Lytechinus pictus: one gene and its partner. The protein of the gene in region 1 interacts with the protein of each later gene in a pairwise test. Links are inferred from orthologs where the notes say so. Each region holds a gene or a part of one and is shown on either strand. Other genes may lie near its edges.

Region 1 (10,539 bases):
TTTGTTAAGTGTGAGTAAGTCATTCATAATTAAAGGGGAAGTTTACCCTGACAAAAAGTTTATTGTAAAAATAGAAAAAATGATTTAAAAAATATTGCCGAAGGTTTGAGAAATATCCATCAAATAATTAAAAACTAATGATGATTTTAATTATTTGATTTGTGATGTCATATGTGAGCAGCATTTCTACATAGCGAATGGTAAAAAAAATCAATGAAATATAATTTTCTCAGAAAATTGAAAATGGTATTCGCTGTACCTTTTTGTATATCAATAGACAAATAATTTCACACTGGATCATGAAAAGAAAACAAAAATAAGTCATCAGGAACCATTACAGAAATGAAATTAATGCATTTTATATTACATAACATATGGGGCAGCTGCTCGTTTATGACATCACAAATCCAAAAATTAAAATTCTAATAACTTTTTTAATCTTTAACGAATTTTCCTCAAACCTTCACCAATATCTTTTATTATTTTTTCTGCAATTTTTATAACAAACTTTTCTTCAGGGTGAACTTCTGCTTTAAGTCAACTATATAATTTAAGTCCTATTCTGAATATAGAATCAATTTCATGTAATTCTTGTTATTAATTAGGAAATCATTCTATTGAACAGTAAAATTGAACCACTTCCAGAAGCATATGAAGTAACCTGTACTTTGCCTTTAACAAATTTTAATCAATTGAGTCCCATACTTAAGGTATGTTCCAAGAAATGGTAATATTTGTAATTGACTTCAAAATGTAAATTTGCTTAATCAGATCAGCATCATCAGGGTCTCCCTCTCATGTCCCTGATCAGATCTATCTGTAATAATTATTTTGTAAGAATCGGACCAGCAATAAATTTCTTTTTCCTTTTTTTTCTTCAAAATTGGGACCTAAAATTGACTTGTTATTGATTGAAGAGTTTCTTGCATTACCCCTTTTATTCATACAAATCAAAAGATATACTACAAGATCACTACATAAGTAATGACTCAATTGTCTATTTCAAAACTAAACTACTTACACGATGGATGGTCGGCTTTCTTGAATATTGCAAGTTTTATGATAATTACTGTTTTCCTTCAAAAGGAAAACGGAAGGTTTTGGGGCAATATAAATATTAGTCATTTGTTGGAACTGTATCTCTTTCTTAGAATACAATATGAATTCAAAGAAACAATCATTTGACTATTGGTCCTTTATTTCATGGAAATATGTTATTTTGTTAATTATATTCTCAAGTGAAGAAATCCACTTTGATATTGTATTCAGTTTTTGAGAATCAATGTGACCAACACATCTAAGCAAGTCACCTTTTCATATCCTCATATATTTCTTTCTATTCCTTTTTTTTTATTATAATTTTTTTTAATAAAACTTATATATTAGGTTGGATTTATGAAAACAAAATCATTTACCACAGAAAATATACAAAAAATATGACATGCTTCATAGTTGCCAATTTGAGTTTGAATTTGTCCACACTGGTCTGCTGGGGACTGTTTCATGAAGGACTTAAATTTATGGTAACTTTGCCATTAACATAACTCATAATAACAGACTCAGCAGTCATCAAAATCAAGTTTCTACAGTAGTTACCATAGAAGAAAGTCTTTATGAATTGACTCCCTTTTTTTGAGGATTTCTTGCTATAACCAACAGTTTTTCATGATGTCAAGTTTGTTTTAAAAAAAAGCATGAAATGGGAGAATATTTTAAGTGAAGAGGTTCAAAAAATCCATCAGGGTTAAAAAAAATTGGATGTTCATGCCTCCATCCACTACTATTCTGACCATCTATCCATCCTGTTTTCATTCTCTATATTACTAAATGACCGTTTGACCACTGCTGTACAGATGGGGGGGGGGGGGGCTCTTGCCCCAAAATTTTTCATGACCAAGAAAAAAAAGAGAAAAGGAAAGGGATAAGGGTGAAATATTATGTCAAACTTTATCACAAACTTGGATTTTTGATGCCATAGAAATAAAATAATAGATTTTAAAAGGAGTGTAGCTCTAAAAAATGAAAGGTAAAGTCACAATCTTTGTCAGTGCCCAATATGTTACAAAAAAGAAAATTCAATCAAAATCTATTTTACTGTCGTGAAAAACATGATCTGCCAAAGCAGTTTACAAGTAACCACTTTTTAATCAAGAAAGTATAAGAATGAAAACAAAAAATGAAATTGTGTGTGTGTTATTTGTAACCATACAGTTCCGGGGGGGGGGGGGATATTTAAGTCTATGGTTATCATTTGGGTAGAGGTGCAACATGCTTTCCGGGAAGTTATTTTCCAAGATCATTTTGGGTAGTGAGAAATTCCGGGAAGTTATCATCTACAGGACTGATATTATTTTCTGAATATTATGTCAAAATCTATCTCTCAATTGGATCGCTGTAATGAAAATGTCAAAAATCTTGCCCGCTTGCCTCACTCGCTCGCAATTCTTTTACCATATTTCGCCCCCTCAAAATTTTTGGCTCATTACGGCACTGGGCCCTATTTTGTGAATAGAAGAGAAGTATAGAAAGACTGGAGAACATTTGCATAATTCCGAGATATTATTGCAGGAACTTTCAGAGTAAATTTTGAAAAGTGGAGTACCGGTACTGCCGCAGATAATATTTTGGTGCTGCGGCATATACTGTATATACATGTATGTGCACAGTACAGCTGCAGTGTCATATCGTACGTACCGTACGCTGCCCAATTCTCGCTCACCCCGGCCTCACAAGCGCGATGCGCACGCTGCTTATTATGATTATCATTTTAAATTCGTCCCAAATTCCTTATTGTTTAGTATACTCGCATAATTAAGCACCCAAGAGGAGACCATTACATGAAAAAACAAAGTGTGGAAAAATAAAATCAATCCCTTAATAAATCATCGTGAAATACTGCTTTAAATGTAAAGTAACCCGATAACTGTTTGAACGGGTTTGAACTTCGATTAACTGTACCGCAACTGCACCAAATTACGTGTTTTTTTCAATCACTTTAAAAACTCCTAAAAAACAGTGAAAAATGTTATATTCTTATATGATGAATGAAAATGTGAGAGTCGCAGGTGCGGGAGGTCCTGATATGTCGTCATGACAAATTTTTTTAGAATGAATATTTGTTGTGTGAATGAATTAGCGAGGGCATACCTTGAGATAGCAGCCTGCCCTAACTCCGCTCACCCTGATTGTAGTATGATAATCATTGTAAGAGTATACTATATAGGGCCTAAACGGAATTGTCATAATTTTTCAAGTAGACTTTTCTTTAGAATCTGATTTTTTGTGTCAGTTCCTCTATTTTGATGGTGCTGAACATGAATCCGCTTGTTGCCAGTTTCATAAATGCCTCCTTCCGCCGTTGCCATGGCAACTGATTAATATGTTTAAAAAAAATAACATATTGAGCCGATATATATGGCATATTACCCTGTCAATTTAATGGTCCAATCTATCATTCTTAAGCCTTCCAAATTCAATTTCTAGATATAGGCCTATCAAGTCATCAAAGTATTTGCAAAAGATCCATTGCCATGGTAACGGCTTATCTTTCCCGCAGAAAATACAATTGTCTTGATTGCCTGCAGAGACAGGGCGCCGCTTTTTCTGACGGCGCCGCGCGGGCGGCGTCGTAAACATTGAAATAAAACAGGATAAGTTTGTGAAATGTAATCATAAGTTTGAAATAGGACTATAGGTTTCTATAGCTTTCATGAATCTTAGAAATAAGGGAGTCAGTGAAAATCCTATAGTGAGTTTCAGGTCATGCCACGGTCAAAGGTAATTTAAGGTCAATGAACTTTGGTCATGTACGCCTTTGGGGGCATTTATTGAATTGCCATCATAAATCAACATTATGGTGGGAAAAGATGAATGGTGGAAAATGACAATGAAAATGCCAAAATCTACATAGGTTCGACCAACTCATTTGAATTAAATTTCGAAAACAACAGAGTGTTCTGCATGGATATAAGTTCATTTGAATGCATGGTAATGGTATGTTGCCATGGTAACGCCTGATTACTCTACTAATTCAACTCGTGAATTTAATATGAGATGAAAATTAAGTGTAAACAATTCAGGAATGTCTGAATTTATTTCAGGTCATAATTCAGTATAGGCCTACCTCATAAGAAAAATCGCTTCAATAAGAATAGTGGTAATATTTGCTTGTACATAAGAGAAATCAGCTCGATTGATCAGCCCATAATATTATGCTCATTATGTTAGCTATAGGGCAGATTATAACTGTAATACATGAACAATAAAGTAAGTCTTAAAGGAGATCGAAAAGAGATCGAGTGTCATATGAATTCATGAACAAAATTTTTTTGCTTGTCAAATTTTCTAGCCCCTTGCCCCCCTACTTTTTGGGAAAGATTTCCGCCCCTGATTCAGAAAAAACGAGACATTTTAAGCACTTTTGTAATGATGTTTTATCTTACAAACCGAGAATGACTTGAAAACAAGACATGAATAATGAAACAAACGGTCAATGCGGGCGCGAAGAGCAGGCTGAATAGTTATTTTGTTCTAAATGAAGGGTATAGGTATTTGTCGGTCCCCAACTCTCATTTTCGTCTTGTCTTCTTCCTTTTATTTTCCTTCCTCATAATCTTTTTTTTTTCATTTCGTTATTTTCCTATTCCGCGCGGCCTGGCCCAAAGTGTTTGGGAAAAAGTTTTACAAAAATTATCTTGCTCTATAACGAATCTTAAGGTCATCAATGCTAAAAAATGAGACTTCGATGCTTATCAATACCGACTAACAAACAACTATAGGGATAGTTTTTTTTTTTTGCTCTGGGGTGAAGCCCCTCCCCGGTTCCGCGGCCCCTGGCATGTCTTCTAGGCTATTATCGATCGTAATGCTGTTTTTTTATGTGGCCTATTCATATTTTGATGATTACCAATATAATTTACTCAGAGTATGAAATTTAGGGATAATTTAATTGGAATGAAACAAGGATTTTATACACGTCACCTCAAATAGATGTGTAATTAGGCCTATGTGATAACTTATGAGCCTAATGATACATATATTTTATGTTAGGCCCATTATCTGCATGCCTATCTGATTCATATCTATAAATCTAAATAAAATAAAGAATTTAAATGAATAAATAAAAATATATCCCACTAATGGGCCTATATAGGCCTGTTGAACTCGGTCAGTAGTTTCCTGATTGATTTGAATAGATGAAACTTTGTCATGTTTATGGATATTTCCTTTTTTTAATTATGTTTTGTTTGAAAACGGAACAGGATTTAAATTGACCAATTTATTTTGAACAAATAGAATTTTCTTGAGTGCCCTTTTCCCTCTCCTATTATTGACGGGAGTTCGAATGTGAACTTAAACCAGCGAGGTGATTAAATATTATTGTTGTTTTTCAAGATGAGCTTTTTTTTATGAAAGTCAATATAAGGGAATCCCCCCAAAAGTATTATCGGAGTTCAGGGTTCAAGGTCTATTCACATCAACATTTCACATTTTCAAAAAATCAACAATTCAATACAAACAATAATATTATACAATACAAGTTTTCATAGATAAGCATAAATCGTAAAAATATGAAATGTATATTATATACATAATATAACAATAAAAAAAGTACTAGAATGTATTCTTGAAATTGGTTCTAAAATAATGACAAAGAAAGAAAATGAGAGATGTGGATATGAGGGAGCTAAAAGTAAAAGCAAAGCTTGTTGGTTGAAGGCTCCAAAGAATATGCAGTGAATAAAAATAATTATTTCTAATAGTAAAAAAAATAATAATGTAAATCAATGGTCAATGACATCAGGGGGCAATGAGCGGAAGGGACGACAAGGGGGGGGGCACTCAAGTTGGATGAGTGGCGAAAATGATTACTTTGAATGGCGAATGTGCTAAAAGAGCTTTATAGCGTTTTATTTATAAGGTGTAAATTCATCAATATTGATATTTTAAGTTAAGTTAACTTAACTATATCAAGCATGTTATTCTATTATATACTGTATATTGTTGTTTAAAACCTTTTTGTTCATGCTGACTCTTTTATCCGCTTCCGATTTTATGTAAGCACCCTTATAGCACTGGTTAGGGTCATGGTCTTTATTGACAACAGTAATTTATTTGACCCAGTGGGTGCTCAATCTATACTCTGTTAATGTTGTTTTACATTGTTCCAATTTCATATACTTTTCATTTCCGAAATAAATAAATAATGATACACTCATAAAATTCATGAATGGATTAGAATCATATTCATATTATTAGACAATTGAAATCAGTTAAAAGTTTGTCGGGAAAGGTTTTTTGAAAATATGTATTTTATAAAAAAATACGGAATAAAGTTTGGAGGATAAAAAAAATGATATAGGCGTAGATCAGTAACAAAAAATTTGAGGCCCTAAAAATAATTGCACTTGGCGAAAGGAACATTTTATACAGTGCATAGTACTATAAAACTTGTAAACAATACATTTAATCACAACAAAATTACACACTTTCTCACTCAGAAGTGCAAGAAAAGGGTAGAAAAAAGAGTTAGACAGTATCAGGCCTTATAAACTACATGTATGAATGCGCGCGCTAAGTGAGCGGAGTTAGGGCAGTGGTGAGCGGCGAATGGGACAGGCGCAAGGGGTGCCGAAAACGGCGAATTACACAGCGGTGCTTTGAAGACATATAATTATTATCCTATGAAACAATTTTCCAGTATTTTCTCTTTCAGGTGACATATAGAAGTAAGGGTATCATAGCTAATTGAATGAAACATAAAGGAAAATACGTAAACTGAGCGACGATTGGGCAGCGTACGGTACGGTATATTTGTGACGTGTAATTGACGTGTTGATCTACCGAGAACTGATTGAGCCAAAGCTAAGGAAAACAAGAAGTTTCGACGATGTGGTCATTTTTGTCGAGAGATCCAACGAGGAGCTTTCCTTTTGAAATAGGAGAGAAGGTGGATGGCTTAGAAGATAAATCAATTTGGACTTTGCATCACGGAAAACGAAAGGTAAATATTAAATTAATGGCTAATCGCCTACCAACACAGTCCCACACGCAGTGTTTCATGTTTCATTCCGGATATTCCTGTCTCTTATCAAAATTCAAATTCAATAATTCAGCTGTCATCCAGGTAGGTATGTTGCAAAAAAATAAATTTGAGAAATGAGGTGTTTGCTTCATAGCATCATTTAGAGTTCATCAAGACCTTTCATTAATACCTCATTCATTTCATAGCCCCAGTAACAAGCACTCTGGGGCTACACCGCTATTCCAACGTGTACGTGTGTTGGAAAAGTCGACGCCAGACGGGTACGTTTTGGCCTTGAATTTCCAGCAAATTCAAGGCGTTCTTTTTGCTATAATTTTATAATGACGCTTAAATATCGAAATCAATGTAGACGAGTCTGTGCAGGGGCATAACAGGGGTATATAAGAGGGGGCATAGCACATATGCACATGTCGCGTGTGGAAGATAATACTTACGTAATGTAAGTCACGAGCACTAGCGTACCTAGGGGGGGGGCAGTCTGCCCCCCCCCCCCCGATGAGTCACAAACCCATGCAAATTACGTATCTCTGCCCCCCCTGACGAGCTTGAAGACCTTTTTTTTTTTTTTTTTTTTGCTTGTCAAATTTTTTGGCGGCCGATTTTGCCCCCTGTGGAAAATCCTAGGTACGCCACTGCCCGTACTACATGCATGTTGGTAGCACTGGGACCTCTGGATATTAACTAATCCAATTTAATTACAGATGGCAGATTTTTTTTATTATCTGAGTAGATCCCCCCCCCCCCCCGGATTATTTGTTCTCACATGACTTTCCTTCCATTTTACATTTCCTTTCGTTCTTTCTTTCTTTCATTTTTTCTTTCTTTCTTTCTTCCTTCCTTTGCTCTTATCATGTTTTTTTTCAGGTGAAATCCACTCGGGGGATGGCCAGCCATGCCCCCATCTGTTTACGCCTCTGAGATGTATATGATCTTTATCTTCGATTTTCCAAAGTAGGGGGGTGCATTTTCTCAAGTAAAATTTGACAACCCCCCAAAAAAAGGTTATCACAGAAAAATTGTCATTTTGTCTCGCGTAAGATTTGACAAGTAAAACAAAAAAGATGGTTACTAAAAATAAAAGACTGTCATTTTGTCCGTGTAATATTTGGCAAGCCTCCCCCCCCCCAAGGTTAACATATCGGAGGCGCGATAGCTCAGTCGGTAGAGCGGGGGTTTCGGATTCCGGTGACCCAGGTTCGATTACCAAGTGGTGCGCTAGTGCCCTTTGGTAAGGCATTTATCCTCATTACCAGGTCCCTCGGAGAGGACCTTAAGCCGTCGGTCCCCTGGTTGCTTGCTCACAGGCATTCGTGCTTGTTTAGCAGTCAGGTAAATAATCTCGATATAACATAACATTAAAAAAAAGTGAAGGTCATTTTGTCCTGCGTGAAATTTTAAAAGTAATAAAAAGATGGTCACTAAAATTGAAGTTCATTTTGTTTGTGAAATATTTGGCAAGCCCCCCCCCCCCCCCAAAAAAAAAAAGGTTTTAACTAAAAATGATTGAAGGCCATTTTGTTCCTCTTAAAATTTGTCAAGTATAAAAAAAAATCACTAAAAAATGAAGGTCATTTGTCCCACGTAAAATTTGACAAGCCCCCCCCCCTAAAAAAAAAAAAAAATGAAAGGTAACTGATAATGATTGAAGATCATTTTTTTCTTGCGTAAAATTTTCAAAAAAAGTGTGTCACTATTTGGCGAGCCCCCTACCCCCCCCCCCCCAAAAAAAAGGTTTAACTAATAATGATTGAAGGTCATTTTGTCTCTCGTAAAATTTGACAAATAAAAAAAAAGTTGTCACTAAAAAAAGAAGGTCATCTTGCCGCGCGTTATATTTGGCAAGCCCCCACCCCCCCCCTAAAAAAGTTTGTCATTAAATATAGAAAGTCATGTTGTTCAAAGTAAAATAAATTTGAGAAGCAAAAAAGAAAAGGACAAAAAAGAGCAAAGAATATGAACAAAATATCCCCATTACAAATATTGCTGTGATTCTCATAAGGAGGTGGGGGGGACATAAGTTTGTACGAACGACATATTTTTTTTTACATCCAAAATATTGACTATGAATCTCAAAAGGTGGAACGGGCCAGAAATGCTCAACCACCCCCCCCCCCCCCCCGATCTGCCACTGATTCCAATCGATAATGACTTTTCCCTGCAATACTGATGCTTGAAATCAAGATACTGAAGATTGATATATTGTAATATAAATTATGAACGTCTGACAAAAAGATAACCAACCGATCACCTGACCGATCAGCTGACCAGTACGTGAATCACATCGGAGTTGATCAGTCCCCACAGCGTTTGGAACGCTCACCAAGAATTCAAGAAAAAAGACTGAAAATGTAAGTTTAACCTCAATCCATTAACTTTTAACCATTGTAATAGATTATTTAAGATGTTAAGAACTAATTTATACCAAAATTTTTACCATCCAATTTGTATTAAGGCGTACATTTGCCAAAGTCCTTGTGTGCAAATAGAAACGGCAATGTCTAACCGGTTTTATCACTTATGTCGCCTATGAGGTCCATACATGTAATGTTGGACCTCATTGGTACTAGGAGTGGTAACAAGGGGCCGATTGCGCGAAAGGGTCTTTGGCTTTGCCTTTGCAAGAACCGTCTTTCGTGTCGCCCATTTATTATGATGTGCCATGTGAAACGCATTTTAAATAAATTATACGTGCAAAAATATTTTATTCATCCGTTAAAGTAAACAAAATCTTTGTTTATTAAATGATGTGATATATCATGAAATTAATTGTATACAAATTGGTTTTAATGCTACTACTAGTACTAGCTAACAAATTTTATTTGTTAATCATACATTTCAGAAATATCCCGCATACAGCGCATCATAAAAGATGGGCGACACGAAAGACGGTCCTTGAAAAGACCCTTTCGTGCAATCGGCCCAAGGAGGTTATGGTATGAACTATGAATGATGGTGGGCCCCAAGTCTGCGCTGATCCTAACAACATTACAATTTGAGTTGAGATTTTAACATGAATTTCTTCTCTTTTCACAAAATCTTTTAGTTAATAATGTTCCTTCTATTATTACGAGTAGGTGTACCAAATATCTCATACAAATTTGAAAGAAATATAGAATTTTCTTGGAAAAAAACCTCGGGCAGTCATTTTCAGATTGAATAAAAAAAATGGTAACTCATGTCTGCGCACCCATTCACTTTCCACACGATTCGGGTATTTTAATGAGAAAGGCTGCATTTTGAGGCCGTGACATGAAACGCCCAAAATTAATTATTTTTCCACCATTTTGAGTAGGACTTTTTAATGAATATCTGTCTATATGTTGCATGTGTAAAGTTTGTGTTCGTTGCGTATCTTCTTATACTAGAATTGCGCAGATATGACAAGGGGGACTGCACAGACTTGGGGGGAACTTGCCATATTGTTTTTTAAAACAAAAGTTGTGACCTTTATTGGGACCAAGGTGCACTAATAGAAAACAACAATGCGCATACAT
Region 2 (9,489 bases), on another chromosome or scaffold:
CTGGGACGCCACTTCTGGCGTCCACAACACGACTTCTATGGCTTGATTTTTCTGTGCTCGGCGGCATGTAATGAACCCATGGCAGGACTGGTCCCACATACCTATAATAAATAAAATAGACTCTAACGGAGTCTAAGTAACGTTAATTATTAACAAGTGGAATGCCTCTGGCCGTCTCACCTGCATCACGCTATTCAATATAGCAGCAGTGCTGATTTTGAAAACTACTATAACTCGCACAAGATGTTCAGTGATACTTGGTTACTCTTATTTCCACGTGTTATGAACTAGACCAATACACTTATAGAGATATGATGGCAATTCAACAAATACCCCCAATGTGGCCAAAGTTCTTTGACCTTAAATGACCTTTGACCTTGATCATGTGACCTGAAACTCGCACAGGATGTTCAGTGATACTTGATTAGTCTTATGTCCAAGTTTCAAGAGTCAGATCCATCAACTTTCAAAGTTATGATGGTAATTCAACAGATACCCCCATTGTGGCCAAAGTTTATTGACCTTTGACCTTGGTCATGTGACCTAAAATGTGCACAGGATGTTCAGTGATACTTGATTACTCTTATGTCCAAGTTTTATGAACTAGACCAACACACTTTCAAATTTATGGCTGTAATTCAACAAATACCCCAATTTGGCCAAAGTTCATTGACCCTAAATGACCTTTGACCTTGATCATGTGACCTGAAACTTGCACAGGATGTTCAGTAATACTTGATTACTATTATGTTCAAGTTTCATGAATCAGATCCATAAACTTTCAAAGTTATGATGGTAATTCAACAGATACCTCCAATTCGGCCAAAGTTCATTGACCCTAAATGACCTTTGACCTTGGTCATGTGACATGAAATTCATGCAGGATGTTCAGTGATACTTGATTAACCTTATGTATAAGTTTCATGAACTAGGTCCATATATTTTCTAAGTTATGATGACATTTCAAAAACTTAACCTTAGGTTAAGATTTTGATGTTGATTCCCCCAACATGGTCTAAGTTCATTGACCCTAAATGACCTTTGACCTTGGTCATGTGACATGAAACTCAGGCAGGATGTTCAGTAATACTTGATTAATCTTATGGCCAAGTTTCATGAACTAGGTCCATATACTTTCTAAGTTATGCTGTCATTTCAAAAACTTAACCTCAGGTTAAGATTTGGTGTTGACGCCGCTGCCGCCGTCGCCGCAGCCGTCGGAAAAGCGGCGCCTATAGTCTCACTCTGCTATGCAGGTGTGACAAAAATGCTTTTCTTTTTTAGCTAAAATTTCATGATTTCACAAAGATAAGTTTATGATGGGGGGACCTAAAGCTACGCACTTTGTTTGCAAACAATAAAAACTATCCCAATTTTAATATTTCAACAAACATCATTCACTAATTTGTGGCAAAAATTCTAAAGATCATTAACCAAGAAGAAAATATCGCAAAACTCACTAATACGAAAATCCCGCCATGTTTTCCGAACACCTCTTCATTCGCCACCCGATGTAGAAGGGGTCCTAAAGCTACGCACTCGATTTATCATGCAAAAAAATAGTATTTCCTGTGCCTCAATTTCTAAAATATATTCATATTATTATAGGATAAAATGAAATTTAAGCGAATATAACTCCTAAATTCCAAACAGTTGTTGGTTTTCTCTGCATTTAGAGATTTACTGCAGCCTCTGTTGAAAAAATTGAATAGGAATCGTTCGTCACTCTGCAGTCACAGTTCCACACACAGAGTGCGCATTTGCCATAACAAGTGGAATGCCTCTGGCCGTCTCACCTGCATCACGCGATTCAATATAGCAGCAGTGCTGATTTTGAAAACTACTATAACTCGCACAAGATGTTCAGTGATACTTGGTTACTCTTATTTCCACGTTTTATGAACTAGACCAATACACTTATAGAGATATGATGGCAATTCAACAAATACCCCCAACGTGGCCAAAGTTCTTTGACCTTACATGACCTTTGACCTTGATCATGTGACCTGAAACTCGCACAGGATGTTCAGTGATACTTGATTACTATTATGTCCAAGTTTTATGAACTAGACCAACACACTTTCAAATTTATGGCTGTAATTCAACAAATATCCCAATTTGGCCAAAGTTCATTGACCCTAAATGACCTTTGACCTTGATCATGTGACCTGAAACTTGCACAGGATGTTCAGTAATACTTGATTACTATTATGTCCAAGTTTCATGAATCAGATCCATAAACTTTCAAAGTTATGATGGTAATTCAACAGATACCCCCAATTCGGCCAAGTTCATTGACCCTAAATGACCTTTGACCTTGGTCATGTGACGTGAAACTCATGCAGGATGTTCAGTGATACTTGATTAACCTTATGTATAAGTTTCATGAACTAGGTCCATATATTTTCTAAGTTATGATGACATTTCAAAAACTTAACCTTAGGTTAAGATTTTGATGTTGATTCCCCCAACATGGTCTAAGTTCATTGACCCTAAATGACCTTTGACCTTGGTCATGTGACATGAAACTCAGGCAGGATGTTCAGTAATACTTGATTAACCTTATGGCCAAGTTTCATGAACTAGGTCCATATACTTTCTAAGTTATGCTGTCATTTCAAAAACTTAACCTCAGGTTAAGATTTGGTGTTGACGCCGCCGTCGCCGCCGCCGTCGGAAAAGCGGCGCCTATAGTCTCACTCTGCTATGCAGGTGAGACAAAAACTGGATGCGCGACGAGTGGTGCGTAGCTTTAGGACCCGCGCAGCTTTAGGACCCCCTACCATACATTTAAGGGCCATTCCGTGCTTTTGGGAACTGGTAGCCAAATTGAACTTGTACCTCCTTTCACCACAATATGTAAAGAATCTTCGCTTCGGCGATTTTGAAAAGAATTGATGCGAGAGACTTTGTTTACGATGCGAAGCTCCTCACACAACTGGTTACCTCTTTCCTCATGCGATGTTTAACGGGCTCAGTTTGCCACGGGTGGACAAGTTTTCAGATGACATCGACTATTCCGCGGAATCATAATTTTTGTAATTATCCATCTACCCCGCATTTCCCTGCTCTTCAAGACCACTCTGCCACTTTCACAATGTTGACAAAAACTTATATTACAAAATCGATTCACTAAATAAATCACAAACAAGATATATCTGGGGATGAATCACTTTAGTAAACTGTAACTGTATTATCTACTCGTGAAAATGGGAACCAGCATAGCTGGTTCCCATTTTCACGAGTAGATAAAGACAGTTTACTAGTGAAATTTATTTCGTCAGAGTCATCACTGACGAAATAAATCTCATTGGCAATCTCTCTCTATATCTACTCTTCAAAATGGGAACCATCTAAGAAAATTCTTTTGAATTATAAATGCTGGTTCCCATTTTCACGAGTAGATAAAGACAGTTTATTAATCAGATTTATTTCGTCAGAGAATCATCACTAACGAAATAAATATTACTAGTAATCTGTCTTTATCTACTCGCTGAAATGGGAACCAGCGTGTACAACTCTATTGAGAATTTTCCACGCTGGTTCCCATTTTGGCGAGTAGATTAAACTAGTTTAATCTACTCGCTGAAATGGGAACCAGCGTGTACAACTCTATGTGGAGTTTTCCATAGAGTTGTACGCACTGGTTCCCATTTCAGCGAGTAGAGTAAACTAGTTTACTCTACTCGCTAAAATGGGAACCAGTGTGTACAACTCTATGGGGAGTTTTCACGCTGGTTCCCATTTTAGCGAGTAGAGAAAAGACGGCGACGAAATCAATCTTTCTGATCTAAGCTCTTTGAAGGATTACTTTATCTAGAATCAGCGCGCCAGCTGCGGTGAAGCAGTGAACAAGCTCGAAAAGGTAGGTAGGTCATGTCTTGTCGTGAAAAAGTCTCCTTTGGAAATTAGGAACTGGTTCCCAATTTCACGATAATGCCCATTTAAGACATTAAGTACCAGATCTAGATAAATGATAATATGGTGACAACAATTAATCTTGATTTATTAAAAAGACTTTCTCATGAAATAGTTTGCTGCAACTACGATACCGGTATACCGGTACGATACTACGAAACTGTTCGTCTAACTTAGTTTCATCTACTTGGCAGTGATCAAGCTAACGTAAGAAACATAACGTGGGACTACAGTAACCCTGTCAGTAACCCAGGGAGCTCCGGCGCCCGCTGCGAGGGCCGGAGCTCCCTGGGTTACCCTGTCAGCAGCAAAATATGCCGAAGTTTGTTTGGAAAAATACTAAATACACTAAAAAGATATCATCAAAGCTTCAACTTTACTTGCCCATTTTTGACTGATTTAAGCAATACTTACAACTTCCCTCCTAAACATTTCACTCCAAAAACAACTGAATTAAATTTGTTGACAAGAATTGTTGACGTGTCCTCTGCTCGCTCTGGCTCTAACGCACGTACGTTCACCGCCTATAGGCTATGTATCAACTCAGTGGAGCCCGCCATTATAAAAGCCCTCTCGCGGTAGGTCGCCTAACAATCTTGTTAGCGACGCTTACGAGCATCTTCTTGCTCACTCTCCAAAATGTCTGCGATATTAAAATCCTAAAAACTAATGAAATCGTTTAAATTTAGTGAGACTATGAATGTTTATCATTTATATTGACTATCGGTGTATCAACCTATATCGAAATTATAAGCAAGTGTGTGTAAGAAGGCGATTTACCAGTCATTTTGATGAGTGATACAATATGCCAAAATTTATGAAAATATAGCGTAAATTTTATATAGCATTTCAAAAATCCTTATTTTCAATATCCCCATAATTTTTTGTTGTTTTAAAAAATATCTTATTACATTAACTAGAATTTTCCAGACCTGATAACGTTGGTAGCTTATTTTCTCCATCATTCATAAGAAAATTTCAGGCCTTCAAAATCTGGTTATTTTTTGTTATATTTCTAAAAGAAAATAGTTAGATTCGAACAACTATACCATTGTTCTCCCGAAGAAGGGTTATCATCACATAAATTTGTGTATATCATACATAACATTAAATATTACGAGTGTAGCAATCAATGTTGGATAACATTTTTCACGATGAGTTACGTAATGAACAGACAAATCAAGTTCATTCTTAGCACACGAGCCGCAGAATGCAAAATTTTAGCGTGTGCAGACGGGGCTGATCGCCCGGGCTGTCCGTTCAGATTATCCAGTCCGATACTGGAGTCAGGTGGTATATTTCACGTACCTTTTCCCCTCGCGATGACCACTGTGCAGTTTTAGTGTTTTATTTCGATACTCAGTCTATGAAATTCATACTTTACCGATGTCTAAAAATACTTGGAATATACCTGACACATAAATTATTTCATTTTCGGTGATTATTATTTCTTTCCTTAATTACAAAAAGTCAAACTGATGTCAAGAATGTGTAACATTGACTGTATAGTTAAAAATATAGGTTTGGGAAATATCGTGTTAAGTTTGTCCAATGTCATCAGCATCTCGGTATATGTTAAACAGAAAATATAAAACAACTATATGTTTTGTAAATTCCACGACCGCCTTTACCATTATGGAACATATGAAGCCAACCTGCATGACCGCCGGGGGGGGGGGGGGGGACTCAAATTATTTGTTAAAATGAAAGTAGTATCAATATTTATAGACCTTCAATATGCCTATTACCAGGCTCTTGTGATTATAAATTATAATCATGGTGAGTTGGGGGAGTAAAAGGGTTGGATGAAATAGATTGCATGGGGAGGGGTCGAGGCCGAGAGAAAAAAAGAATTAAGGGGCCAAAAGGAGATTGCAGGCCGGTAGAATGACAGAGGGTCAAATATTAATAGGGCAAGCTTTATTTGAGAGCTTGACCATAACAGGAGGGAAGGAAAAATACAAGACAGTGGAAATTTAAATAGGGAGAGCTGATCTTTGAGATATATAATGGCACGAAAGCAAAAACAAAGAAAGAGAGAACAGGGAGATAAAGGAGGAGGAGAAGCCCTTGCAATTAAAATGTATCAAACACACTTGGCTGGGGCGGCAGTGAGCACGGTGAGATGATTACCCCCCCCCCCCCCTCCCTCTACCACCTCGTCAGTCTCAGTAGCAGAGAAAGGGGACTAATGATTGACTTTTTGTGATTCATGCAGGTCGAAAGAAATGATAATTCTCAAAAATGAAATCATTCATGTGTCAGGTATATTAGAGCATTTTTAGATATCGGTAAACTATTCATTTCACAGATTAAGTATCAACATTAAGCACTATAAAACTGGACAGTGGTCATCGTGGAATATACCACCCGAAACCAGCATGACCAGTATGGGACTAGATAATCCCGTCCGACACACTAGGGATCAGCCCCGTCTGCGCACGCTAAAATTTATCATTCTGCGGCTCGCGTGCCAAGAATGAACTTGATTTTTTCTCTTCATTACAAAACTCATCGTGAAAAAGATTATCTAACATGGATTACTACACTCCTAAAATGAATTGATATGTATCATTTACACAACAATACGAGATGATAACCCTCATTCGGGCGTACAGTTGGTATAGTAGTTCGAATCTAACAATTTTCTGTTAGAAATATAACAATAATTAACCTGATTTTGAAGGTCTGGCATTTCCTCATAAAGCCGAGAAACAGTAATCTATTAACGTTATCAGGTCGGGAAAATTCTAGTTAATGTAATAAGATATTTTTTAAAACAACAAAAAATTATGGGGATATTGAAAATAAGGATTTTGAAATGCTATATAAAATTTACGCTATATTTTCATAAATTTTGGCACTTTGCATCACTCATCAAAATGACTGATAATTCGTAATATAACAGGCAATTGCCATTAAATTCGGTATGAGTTTGTACACCGATAGTCAGTGTAAATGATAAACATTCATAGCCTTACTAAATTTGAATAATTCCATCAGTTTGTAGGATTTTAATATCGCAGACATTATGGAGATTGAGCCAAACGATGCTAACAGGCGTTGCTAACAGGGTTGCTAGGCCCGAAAATCCGATTAAGCTCCGCCCACTTTTTACACTGAGTTGGAGGGATTAAAGCTCGTGAACGTTGGGCTTGACAGTCGAGTCTTGAATATTCATGAACCATGCATGATCGACGGTGATCGAGTGCATAACTTTGCCGGGTATGGAGGGAGGGGCTATATAGGGGGGCGGCAAGATTAAAGTAACCTTTTAAGTGTTGACATATCATAAAGTGAAGTTACTTAAGTTCTATATTAAAAATAGTTGTATTGTAAGGTGTACAAATTATAAGTTCAGGGGTATAGAAATGATAAAGTTCTATTAACTCAATCATCGAACCAAAGGGGAAATAAGTGAAACTGAAGTAGAGACGCAAGTTGAATTGAACCCCGGGGGGGGGGGGCACTCAGTATATAATGCATAGTGGGTATGTGCCGCGGAGGGGACCCCCATTTTTACACTCAAATTTCCGTTCCAAGGCATAGCATTTTTGTCCTATTGAGAAAAAAAACAAAGAAAGCCGCTCCAAGGCATAGCATTTCCTTCTTATCGAGAAAAAAGAAGAAAGAAATCCGCTCCAAAGCTTTGCATATTTTTCGTTACGCCGTTCCGGTCGCATTGATCTGCTACAATTTTGGTGAAAAGCGGCCGTAGAGCGCTTTTCGACCATCGCCTAAGCGCGAGCGCACCCAGCGGAGGCCGCCCTAGCTGCGTCATGCACGATTGCCCGTTCCATAGGGATGCATACGCATTCACAGAGATACGGAGATCCGTTCCGAGGACCCCCGTTTTCACAAACATTTGTAGTTCCGAAGCCCGTTCCGAGGACCCTCCTTTTTACAATAAGCCCGCTCCAAGGCCCCCGTTTTTTGCCTCGCCCGCGGCACACCACTACCACTTTTTTGGTCGAGTGCCCCCCCCCCCCCCGGAATTGAACAGAACCAAAGAAGTCTGGTAGTGCATCTCTGGGCCTGGGCTACGTTGCCTCAGCTGAACTCAGAATGATATACAATTTACATAATTTATTTGAATTAGAAATAACAACCAATAATGGAAGGATCGAACTAAAATGTAAGAACCCAATACATAAGATAAACCAATAAGGAATATGAAGGATGTCTGGGTGATTGTGTAATAAAACAGAAACTAAGGAGTCAGACTAGGGATGCAATGAGTGGAACACCTGAAGAGAGAATAGGGAAGGAATGAAGATGACAAAGAGAATGTCGGAGAGAAAAGGAATTCAGAGTAGAATGAATGAATGACCATTGAATATCATAACCTAAGTTCAAGGGCAGTGCTGAAAAGAAATGCAAATGAACTCAAGTCTATATAGACGGAACAGAAATGTAAAACAGCTGAAGAAAAAACAAGTCAAAGGAAATAAACAAAATAGGAAAATGACAAAATAACCATCCTACGTACAGTATATCTTGTGCATTTTTACGAGAATATACTCATGAGCCTCGTAGATAAATGCAGGCATGCAGCCTTTTTCTTTGGTGAAACTGCAAAACGATGTACTAGTAGAAGTTTATCAAATCGGGTAAAATATCAGGGAATATCGAGCTTATAACTGGCACCCGCCCATATAGCCCTACCTACGAAAAAAAAATTGCCTGTCTATGAAGGAGTGGAGCTCCGAGCAAGAAAATTTATGCGGTAGGGCCTAAAACTTAAATGATATATAGACACTTCTAGTCAGATAAGTCAAGCCATAGATGTTTAGTCAGTGAACGGTGCCGGGGGCTGACATTGACCGGATGAGATAGTTTTAAAAATTTGAAGAATGAAAAATGCTGTTTTGGAGCACTTTACAGCTCGAGTAGGTTGCTCATGAATTTACTAAATGCGTAATTATTATTATTATTATTATTATTTTTTTTTTTTTTTTTTGGGGGGGGGGGGGGCAACGGGTGGGCTGGCAACGCTCCCGACGGAGACAAATGCCCCCATGCCCCTCCCGGCCTAGTGCCTCCACTGGTGCACACAACCTTATTGCAGGGGCCAGCTATGGGGCCTACTTCCGACTCCAGTGCACCTGCCTCCACATTACTCTATCAAAACTATTCAGTTATATTTTATCATCTCTCTGATCAAATTGTGTTTTAGAACTTTCATTTTTCTAAAATTTTCATAAGAATAGGTATATGCTATTGATAAATTATCATGGAATTCACATATTGATACAATTTGCAAAACCTTATCAAGAAACGCTATAGTGATATAGTTATATGCTCTTTCACCGATTGCCTCTCGTTATGATCTATGCGCACTATAGCTTATTTAGGGATCGAAAGGCAACTTGATCGAGGTTTAACAAAATTTCACTCTTGAAAAAAGGGTACTTTGAGAGTAATAGATATTGTATTAAACGCTATATACATATTGCACATTAATATTTTCTCATTATTTCGCCAAAATTGCACTCGCAAAATTAATGAAATATTCCTTACAACTTTATCAATTCAATCTTGATTTTGTGCCTGTAGGTTTAATGAAAACTG

The links.
Region 2: the proteins of N-terminal kinase-like protein (region 1) and RAB6-interacting golgin-like interact in a two-hybrid assay, tested with the Homo sapiens proteins (2 studies listed by BioGRID and IntAct). The link is inferred for Lytechinus pictus from reciprocal best matches to the Homo sapiens genes SCYL1 and GORAB.

Annotation. Positions count from the first base shown.
Region 1 is NC_087251.1:6,312,170-6,322,708, forward strand, and holds the start of N-terminal kinase-like protein, read left to right. Parts: upstream 1-6,594; 5' UTR 6,595-6,889; coding exon 6,890-7,003; intron 7,004-10,539. UniProt on the Homo sapiens protein: Regulates COPI-mediated retrograde protein traffic at the interface between the Golgi apparatus and the endoplasmic reticulum. Involved in the maintenance of the Golgi apparatus morphology.
Region 2 is NC_087259.1:24,658,961-24,668,449, forward strand, and holds the start of RAB6-interacting golgin-like, read right to left. Parts: upstream 4,419-9,489; 5' UTR 4,333-4,418; intron 1-4,332.